Linked DNA regions of Drosophila melanogaster. The protein of the gene in region 1 interacts with the protein of each later gene in a pairwise test. Each region holds a gene or a part of one and is shown in the gene's direction. Other genes may lie near its edges.

What was found.
Region 2: the proteins of CG1324 (region 1) and Cpr76Ba interact in a two-hybrid assay, tested with the Drosophila melanogaster proteins (one large-scale study listed by BioGRID).
Region 3: the proteins of CG1324 (region 1) and CG14427 interact in a two-hybrid assay, tested with the Drosophila melanogaster proteins (one large-scale study listed by BioGRID).

Annotation. Positions count from the first base shown.
Region 1 is NC_004354.4:20,733,899-20,737,521, reverse strand, and holds CG1324 (uncharacterized protein), read left to right. Parts: upstream 1-1,561; 5' UTR 1,562-1,728; intron 1,729-1,791; 5' UTR 1,792-1,822; coding exon 1,823-2,701; 3' UTR 2,702-3,067; downstream 3,068-3,623.
Region 2 is NT_037436.4:19,517,026-19,519,970, reverse strand, and holds Cpr76Ba (cuticular protein 76Ba), read left to right. Parts: upstream 1-1,638; 5' UTR 1,639-1,695; coding exon 1,696-2,310; 3' UTR 2,311-2,419; downstream 2,420-2,945. Other genes in the region: Cpr76Bb (cuticular protein 76Bb), read right to left, coding at 1-276.
Region 3 is NC_004354.4:7,038,583-7,042,295, forward strand, and holds CG14427 (uncharacterized protein), read left to right. Parts: upstream 1-2,020; 5' UTR 2,021-2,107; coding exon 2,108-2,866; 3' UTR 2,867-3,187; downstream 3,188-3,713.

The DNA of each region.
Region 1 (3,623 bases):
GATGTTTGAGGGATCCTCGGACGGGTTTGATTTATACTGCGGATGCGTCTGGCATCGACCAGCCGTTGGCCTCATAAATGTCCCAGAAGGACCTCCGGCAGCTGCCAGTAACCATTTCAGGGTATTTTTAAGCCATAATTGTATTACGACAAGCTCATTTTAAATGGTCTCCACCTTTCAAAAGCCTACGTATCCTTACAGTATTTAATTCGCAGCTAAAAACCTCGTGATTCTTTTCGCATCTCAAGCAAAAGTTTCGATGGTTCTATATTAAAGAGAATTATTAGTTGGTCAACATATTATATGCGTTACTTCCGAATTGGTCGGCGGTGTAAGGCGTCGTCATGCTATGAAAACCCATTTTCCCGAGCCCTAAAAACCTTGGACCAAACAACAAACGACTTTTATGCGTTGACATAAAAGGGCGCAGCATCAGAAAATCAAAAACGATAAAAACGGTCTCTCAACTTTTATTTTACCCCGCATGTGGAGCTGCAAATTGTCATTAGACATGCCGAATTTATGATTTTCGACTGTGATTTCGCTCTCTTTTTGGGCAATCTGCCATTCGATCCAGCACCACCCACCGACGCCCGCTTAAGTATGCTACACACATTTTTTTGGTAACCCTTACCAAGGCCCAAAGCACCCCTTTACTTTACCCCTCCGCCGCCGATGTGTATGTGGCACACAAACTCATAAATTGTATAAATTGTTCGGCTATTATTTCTCGTGGCTGTCAACGCAATATTGCAGGCAAATTGTCCTGGACAATGACGACAACATGTTGGCGGGGAAATGGGCAAGCAGGGGTTATAGGTCGGCTTGGAAATACATTTTTCTATGTGTTTTTATGAGCCCCGAATGTGAGATGGAGGCACATCAAAATGGAGATTACCTCTAGTTTTCCGACAACCTGTTTTATTAACAAGTTTTCACCTCTCGTATCGTACCTTCTAACGTGTATGATTTAGGTACGATTGGTCCAGCTGTGAATCTGCTGCTTATGTTCAGTGATTCTATCAATATAATCTATCATTTTCAGACGACAATTTCGGTTGCAGACCGCCAACCCCTTAATCCCTAACCATATATGGATTTTTTATATAACCATTTTTATGGAATTTTCTGCTCGTTTGTGTCAGATTTTTACCCATTTTTCGCAATTGACTTTGCAGCCTTGACTTACGCCAAATGACATAATTAGCCATGGGCGGGGGGCGTGGCAGGTAGTCGTTTTAGGGCTAGGGTTATTATATAGCACGTAACCCTAGCGCTGGCCATGCGCCATAAAAGATGCAATTTCGCGCGAATTCTAACCCCAGCAAATCCTTTTTCGTCCTGCACTTTAATGCCCGTTTTTTTTTCCACCGAAAATACCCGGGTTTCCTCCCTTTTTATGCCGTTTTTATTATTATTTGCGAAAACGGTTAGAAAGTCAATTGTTTTATGGGATTACGGAAAAGCAGCAGGCGGGGCATTCCAGTAGGTGCTGCCTCAAAAGTCAGCTGCCCAAACATTTGGGGCCTACAACGCTACGCCCAGATCCCCAGTCGTTCTCCGAGCACCGACTCGACAAGACCCAAAATATATTCGAGCTCAAAAGTTTACAATTTCGAACAAAGTCAAGGCTTCACAAAATTTTCATATAAAATTCACCGTTGAAAATAACTTTTCGTTCCGCTCTTTTTTCGTTCCTTTTCTGTTTAAATATACAATATATATTAGGTAAAAAATAACATACTACACGTACAACTTTTCAAATTCAACAAAAATATATATTCCATACAGATTAAACGGCGTACGGACCCACTGAGTTACAATGCAACGTTCCATTTTCAAGAGTAGCTGTTCCAGGACACTGATCCTGCTTAACTCCCTGAAATCCATGCACCACAAGAGCCTGCACGTGGAGCAACTGTTGGAGGCAGCTCCAGCGCCCAAAAACCGCTGCCTGGATCTGTTGGGTCGCTTGATCCATGGCCGATTGAGTCTCTTGGGCGGTCGTCCTGTCCCGCCCAGATTCTTACCGCTATTGGCGGGTGATCGAAGCCTGTACTTTAATGCGGACGAGGACGAAGAGTTTCGTAAGCGTTTGGCCATGCAGCTGAAGGAGTTGCGAGAGACCCTGCAAGAAAAACAGGAACTTCGCGAGGGACAAGAGCAGGACTTTCAGGAGCTGGAGCAACAGGACGAGGAGGAGGATCAGCCGTATGTGCCCAGATCTCGGGAGATCTCCATGGAGGATCTCACTGACGAGGAGCTAAGTGACGTGCGGGGGCTGCGGATGAGTGCCAGCCAGGATGATGGCAAGTCTGGTAATTTCGAGCAGCCAGAAACCAGTGAATTGGAAAGCGAGGAGACGGCGGATGCTAAGGATCCCCGGGAGTCCGGGCAGCCGCGAGAGCCTCAAGATGCCCACGATGCCATCGAACACGTTCGCGAGGGTGAAATCGAAGGAGTTTACTGGACGGGCGAGGGCAAACGGATTGTCACTCAAACGCCACAGCGTAAGACGGGTCATTCGGGATTCATCGATGGCCATGGCGAAGAGATTCCCCAGGAGGACTCCAAGCAAGAGGTGGCTCCCTATCACCCTGAGCCTCGGGCCCAGGCGCAGGCCACCTCCAAGGTGATAAGGAAGGGCCGCAAGCCCAAGTCGTCAACCAAAACCAACACGCCCAGCGATTCCGACGAATAACTAAATTGCCAGTAAATGAAACCAAAACCCTCGAGCTGGGATCGCTAAAATAAATACAAAAGGCTAAAGACAAAACGCTCTATGCCGTGTTTCCCTTTCCCAGTAACCATCTGAGGTTTCTGCGGGTTGCATTCAGTTGAGTCATCTGCAGCCAGCACTACCTGGCCACTGCTTAGCAAATTTTATGCAATGACCAGGAGTCAAGGACGATTTACCTGGGCGGACAACACACGCTTCCCACACGCGGCGGTGGGCACTCTCACTCTTTTTTGCGTCCTCTAAAATCCTTTTTTACAGCCCTATCCTTTTTTTGGCTTTTGGTGGAATTCTGGGAAAATTTTACATAAAGATCGTAGAACACCGAGCATGTTTTTTTTTTTTAATATAATTTTTCAAATAGATTCAAATGTTGCTAGCCATTGGTGGCTCGTTTAATGGTTTAATCAACATGGACAAGAGCCAAGTCCATATTCTCCCCTGTCTGTGGCTGTTCCTTCTGTACCTGCTCCATTGACCCAAGATGATAAATGATGTTTGCCAATCTAGCTGACCCAAGGCCGGAAATTAAATTTGTTCGAAAATTTGCCACTTTTCCCCGTCTGTTTCTTATTTGTTGTTTGTTTCCCCCTCAGAGTCACGCCCGAAAAAAATCTGGAGAAAGGACTGTGGGAACAAAATGGGGAGGAGATATGGAGAATTAATATCGGGCTTTGGGAATCTTGTAGAACAAAAACATATACATATAACAAAATAATGTTCTTGATGTTCTATTTTTAACTAGAAGAATCTTGGGATTAAAATACAAGTTTTTATTGACTTTTGATACAAGACTTGTTTCATAAATATAATAGCAAATGAGTGCTCGCCGGTTTTCAATTTATAAACGTATTTGAACGTAGGTATCCGAGATAATTCTGTTGGT
Region 2 (2,945 bases), on another chromosome or scaffold:
GACGCCGTAGTCGAATTGGTACTTGGGATAGTGATGGGGCTCGTGCTTGTCGTATCCGTATCCGTAGCCCGAATGGCCGACACTCGGATAGCCGTGTCCGTAGATGCCACCGTAAGCGCTGACCACATCGTGATCGTATCCGTAGCCCAGGCTCTTGTGGACGGGTCCTTCGTGCTTGGTCACCGAACTGTAGCTGGTGGCGTGTCCACCATGGGGAGCTGCCCAACTGGCTCCCACCAGAAGGGCAAAGAACAGACCTCCGCTAAAGGATTTCATATCGGTCACTTATTCGCTGTTTTCCAATCGGAACTTTGATGATGTCTGCTGGTTCTTGGGGAGCTCACCTAGACTATATATAGCTATCGAAGACTCTGGGGCAATCAACCATCGGGTGGTCATTCTCTTGGCCACACCATTCACCAATCGAGCTAGCTGATTTGATAATTACCTCACTAACTCGTACTTATTATTATTGTTTCGGCCATTGAGCTCTATAGAAAATCGGCACATTTTATTTAAAGTCCAATCCGTTACAATTAAATTCTGCTAGTAATAATTAATAATATCAGATCCAAAAAGTTTTTGTTAGATCGTTCGATGTGTTTGGTATTCAGTCAAAGAGAAGGGAAAAACTAAGGCAAGAACTTATTGCTTAATTTACAAAAATTAATTATGACTGAGAATGTGAACTGATGAAGGCGGCAGCTTTTGCTTGAAGAAATAAGGAAATGCTGTTAAACTAACCAATAAATAAACTTTGTAGTGTTGTACTTTGAAATCCTTATGTAAATATCCAAAGCGAACCTATTTTGCTATAAATAATTATGTGTTTTTCCTAGAAATCTGTTGGCTTCAACATTATATTTATTATATAGTTATTAGTAGTTTTAAAACTTGAACTACAGGATTTCTTTTTATTTAATATGCATGTTATTCCTATAGATAGCGAAACAATTTATGCAAATAAACGTCTTAAAAATAATTAACATCAGATAACGTAGGCTAAATACCAATATGCTTATATTTTCACGCATTTCAAATTTCCGAGCTTAAAGTCTATTAGCCTTGTAAATTATATGCATTAAAAAACACTATCGGTAAGTTAACACCAATTCGGAAGCTCTGGGTGCCCCACAGCAGACCCCCTGGTCAGAAACACCAACCGATTGGACGGTCCGCCCAACGCTGCCCTCCCCTTCTCAGCCCCTTACCGCACCGTCCGTCTCAAGGTCATTTGGAGTGAAGTAGGCGAAAAAGAGGGTCCAACCGTGGAAACGCAGCGAGGCGAGGCGAGGCGGCTATTGCTGAGCAATTTGAAAGCGGGCCACACTTGTTGATTGATTTCTAAGCAACAAAATCGAAAAGCTTTGCGTTTTTCAAGCATTTGAGCGATGTTCACGCCCCGCTTAATGATGATGTTGTTGTTTCTGGCAAGTTTTAATTTGCCAATCGACCGACCGCCCAAGACTATGAATACGAATGGGGAAAAATGAAAATTTGCACAAAAATTCGAAGCATTTTTTATACCCATTTTTGGGGCTCTTACTTTTTTCTAGCCTATTTAGCCCGCAGTCTAAAATGTAATTAATCGATCCATAGAATGGCCAGAAGTATAAAAGCATTGGGCATTGTCTGGTGATTATAACAGTTCCAATCGTGATTTAGGCCAGGCAAGTCAATCAGAAACCAACGAAAATGGCCCACCAATTGAGCATCCTCTGCTGCGCACTTCTGGGAGTGGCTGCTGCTAGCTACATCCCTCATGGTGGATATAGTCACGAACACGGCGTGGGGTACAGCATCCAGACGCATCACGAGGCGCCCAAGCAGTGGCAGGATCACCACCAGGCTCACCACCAATGGGTGGATGTCCCAAAGGCCCATTCATGGGGCACAGTTCAGGATCATCACCACCAGCAGTGGGCTCCAGTCGCTGCGCACGATAGCCACCACCAGTGGAGCCACCACGAGGAACCCAAACACCATCCCAAATACGAATTCAATTACGGGGTGAAGGACACCAAGACCGGCGACATCAAGCAGCAGTGGGAGACCCGCGATGGCGACAAGGTCAAGGGAGGCTACACCATGAAGGAGGCCGACGGACGCACCAGGATCGTTGAGTACACCGCCGACTCCCACAACGGATTCCAGGCAACCGTGAAGCATGTGGGACACGCCAGTCACTTGGAGCACAGCCACTCATATGGCCAGCAATACGGACATGGGCATGGTCATGCCACCAGCTACGTGGATGTCAAACAGGACACCAGCAGCAAATGGGAGGACAAGAGCAACAAGTGGTGGTAGAGGAGCTGACCTAACTGACTGACTGCAAGCGATTCGGACCGACTTAATTATTGTAAATAGAACTACAAAATTGTTAACTTAAATAGTAGGTAAATATATCAAAGTGCAGAAAAAAGCTACAAATCAAACTACTTTACTATTTAAAGTTTTTACAATAGTTCTGAGATTTAAGACCACAACGAACACCGTTTATTAAATGAGAGAAACAACTTACCGATCCAATAATTCTAAGATACATTCGATACGGAGGATGTTGAGGCCTTAGTGTCTTGCAGCCTTTTTGTATTCTAGCTCACATAAGGAGGTTCGGAAGATCTTACGCACATCTTTTCTAAGGACTTTGAAGGCTTCGGCTTGTTCAGAAAAGTCCTTCCAAAAGTTATCATCAGAGTCCGGTAAAGATATGGTAAAGATGGTAAAGATATTCCTGATTTTCACAATTTTTTAATTCATCTACATCGCCGTCGCTGTCGTTACTTAAGTTCCCCTGCTTATTCGACTCGATCTCGATGCCCAGAGTCATTGACTTCGAAACGAATGCCATTGAAAGTTTTTTCGGACCTCCCATTTTTGATATTATTAATCTGCTGAGACAGAGAAACAACGCCTGAGAAATCCTATTTATTGCCTATTTT
Region 3 (3,713 bases), about 14 Mb from region 1:
AGTTGTCACTTGAGTAAACGACACATGCAAAAGCAATGAGGAAGTCGTAAGTTAGTTTTGCATCTTACTTAGCTAAATTGTCAAGGCCCATTTGCCATACGTGCCTTTTCCCCATTTCGAGTTTCTCTGTATCAATCGAGGGATATGTATCCTTCACCAACTCCTAGCTATTCAAGCTGTTTCCTGGCCCCACTAGCAACTCCACAGATGCCATTTGCACAAGCTCAACTGAGTCGAAGCTAAGGGCAAATCACATGCCAAACACAGGGACAAAAGTGTAGCTATATTTGGTGAATAAAAGTTACATATTGCAGAGAGAGTCTCTTTTTGTGTAAATTTTTTTTTTAATTAAATAGTCGATTTCTTTGATGCATCAGATTCTGTCTTTTGTTTTCAGGCACATTTTTTCTAACACTGTATTCTTGGGGTCACCGGGAGCTCTTCTTCGACTTCCGTTTCCGCTCTCGCATCGAACATTGGGAGTTCTCCCCAAAATGGAGACCCGTCACGTGCAGTGAACAAATGCCCGAATTACGTGACTGCTGCCAAGTGCGGATGCGAATGTGGATATGGTTGTGGATGGAAATGCATATTTCGATGCAGGATACGGATCAAATTCGCTAAACAAGCGCTACGAGTGCAAGCCAAACAGACGGAGAACGGGAAACTCCGTTAAGGAAAATTGACGAAAGGCGAGGAAATTCCGCTCAGCGTTTTTCCAGCCGAAAAATGCGGGAATTTCAGCGATTGCGTGTGAAAATGCAACAAGAAACCAAAACAGCAAACACCAAATGTGCGATAGTCAAATGAGGCCTGAGGTTGGCCAGTTGTTCAGTTGTTCAATTGCTCAGTTGGTCAGAAACAAAAGCCAAGTTTGTTTCCCGTTAACTAAGAAGGAGAACCCGGAGGTTGTTAAAAGTGCCATGGGTATACGGACCCCAAAGGAGGCAGCGATTATCACGTGCCACTGCAGTTGCATTCCGTTGTAAGGACATAAGGATATAACATAGGGGCACGAGCTCTCAGATAGGGTATCTCAGTTTGAGATCCCACGTGTTCGTCCTTAAGTCTTAAGGGCAAACGGGTGGATGTGGATGGGTTGAGCAACGCCCAGTTGAAATTTACATAAAGATCACGCACACTAAAAATGTGCCTTTTAATTGTAAATTAGATTTGTTATTCCTTGTTATTCGAATTTCTTTGGTCATTCATCGCAAACGTTTTTCATTGAAGTGCGAAATACATTTTCAATTTTCATTCTCCATATTGCCCGTGTTGATTTCCATTTGCATCCAGATGCCAAATTCGATTTCTTTTGGCCTTGAGTTATACGTTGAGTCCAAGAATGGTAGAGTCGTTCCATTGAGGAGTTTTCTTCCGAAATAGATCGAAGTCGGTGCAGCTGCGTGGTATTCGAGGTTACGACTTTTCTGGTTTTTGATTCGGTTGGCAAAAGGTCCTTCCCGCTGATTCGAGACTTGTGGCCGGCGTCAACGGCGTTCCGAGGACTGCGCCACGGCGTTTACACAACAATTGGCCATGGCAAGGACCAAGGATCCGGCCAACACACAATGGCCCAAGGACGCCGACCAAAATGACTGACCGACCATGATCGGTATACATCGGTCATATATCTGCAGCCATAACTCATAGTTTCACAAATAAAAAGGCTGATAAAACCGAAAAGAGTTATGGCCAGGAAAGTATTTTAAATATGAAGGTATAGGATAGTAAGAGTAAGCACTACGACAGTCCAACCTTAACTCGTTGGCCAGATCGAAAGTGCTCGAATCAAGGACTTTTCAAACAGGATCGCAGGTACTCTCCCAATCGCAGTGTTTTTGACCAAATTGCCGGGCCATAAAGTATCGCGTATTTTCATGAAATCCCGTTCGCGGATTAGGCCAGAAAATATCTGAAAAACTAATCAGGTAGCCGCATGCGGTACGGGTGATTCCAGGAACTCCGGGATCCTCCTGCCTCTACCTGCTGGACATATATAAGCCCGCCGGTTTATGGCCATGCAGAACAGTCGACAAGGAATTGTCAAGCGAGTAACATCATACCAGAGTTTACTACACTACAACTTTCAAACGAAACCGAAATCATGGGTTGTTGTGCAAGCAATCTGAAGCTCAAGGAGCTGAGCAGCCTGAATAGCAGCATCTATGTGGCCTCCGGCGGATCGGCAAGTCGCTCCCAGAAGCGTTTGTACAGCAGTCGCAACAGCAGCGGAGTGGGCAGCAGCAGCAGCGGTAGCAGCAGCGGTAGCAGCAGCTCCTCATCGTCCAGTCGCAGCATCTGGAGCCGCTCCAGCCAGCCGATTTGCGATGATTTCGCAGAGCAACCACAACTGGACAAATCCTGCGGTTACTACACCTGCAGCAGCGCCAATTCATCGCCGAGAAAGGGCCAGGAGAATGACGAGGAGATGGAGGGAGTGCTTATGCGCACGCAGGACATGAGTGCATCATCCCGAGACTCTACACAATCCGATCAAATGGTGGGCAATCTGGAGTGGGAGATGCACATGATGCAGCAGGCGCAGCGCATTATGCCCAAGACCTCGTCGCCGATTTGCCAAAGAAGGGATAATGCTCAGATGCCTCCCTCATCGTACCAGAAGTGGAGAAACTATCTGCAATCCACGCCAGCGCACATGCTGCACAATGTCACCCACATTCCGGAGGCAATTGCCGGCCACTTTTGCCCCACCAGCTTTCCGGGCTTCAGCGACCTGGAGGAGATGGAGAGTGCGGCCAAGAGGTTCAAGGTGGATTTCGAGAAGGAACCACTGGAGGAGCCCATGTACACCACCTACCAATTGCTAGCCGGGCACACGCACACCATATCCACAGATCTGTGAGGCGTGAAGACCCAACCAATCGCACCATCTCCGCCTGGTTCGGAGTGGTTCGGCGATTGGTGTAGCCCATCGATGTAATACCCGGCGAGGACTGGCAACAGGTGTGCCAGCTGTCAAACAGTTGGGCAATTAATAATTACAAATCCGCTACGATTGCATTGCCCAGCAATGGCAAATCGACCTATACGATTTTACAAAAATACCTATTATTTTTTTTGACTGTATATCATACAAACTAGACTTAAGGACAAGGACAATCAACGATGTGTACATTGTTGGATAATCAAATTGTGCTCGCAAATATATTTTACAATCTCTAAGCTATTGACTTTTCAATCAAACTAATTAGATGCGGGTCAAAGGTCAGGGGCCAATTAAACTGCTGGCTGGCTACACGGCTAGACGGCATTTCTGAGTTTTACAGCAATTTCCCAAATATACATATTTTTAAAAAAAATTGAAAATTTTTTAGATTTTTAATACTGATATATTATAACCAAAAAAAGGACGAATTAATGTGCGAAATTTATGCGTTTTTTTATTGGTTTTTTAGTTGTAATATTTATAAATTAAGACGCACAGACAAGAAATACACCGTTTTTTGCAGCTAACAACCAAACCTAGCGATCCATATCACTTTTTAACTAATTTGGTAAAAATATTTTTTTGACAAATTTTTAATAATTTTTAAGGCATGATTTTTTTTCGAAAAATTTAAAAAATTTTTTGTTTTCAGCTGTGAATGACACATGATAGAAAATTAAGCCACGAACTCAACGAGATATGACATTCCAAATTCACTCTTATAACCAAAGTTGTGAGTAAAACAATCATTTTTTTTAGAAAA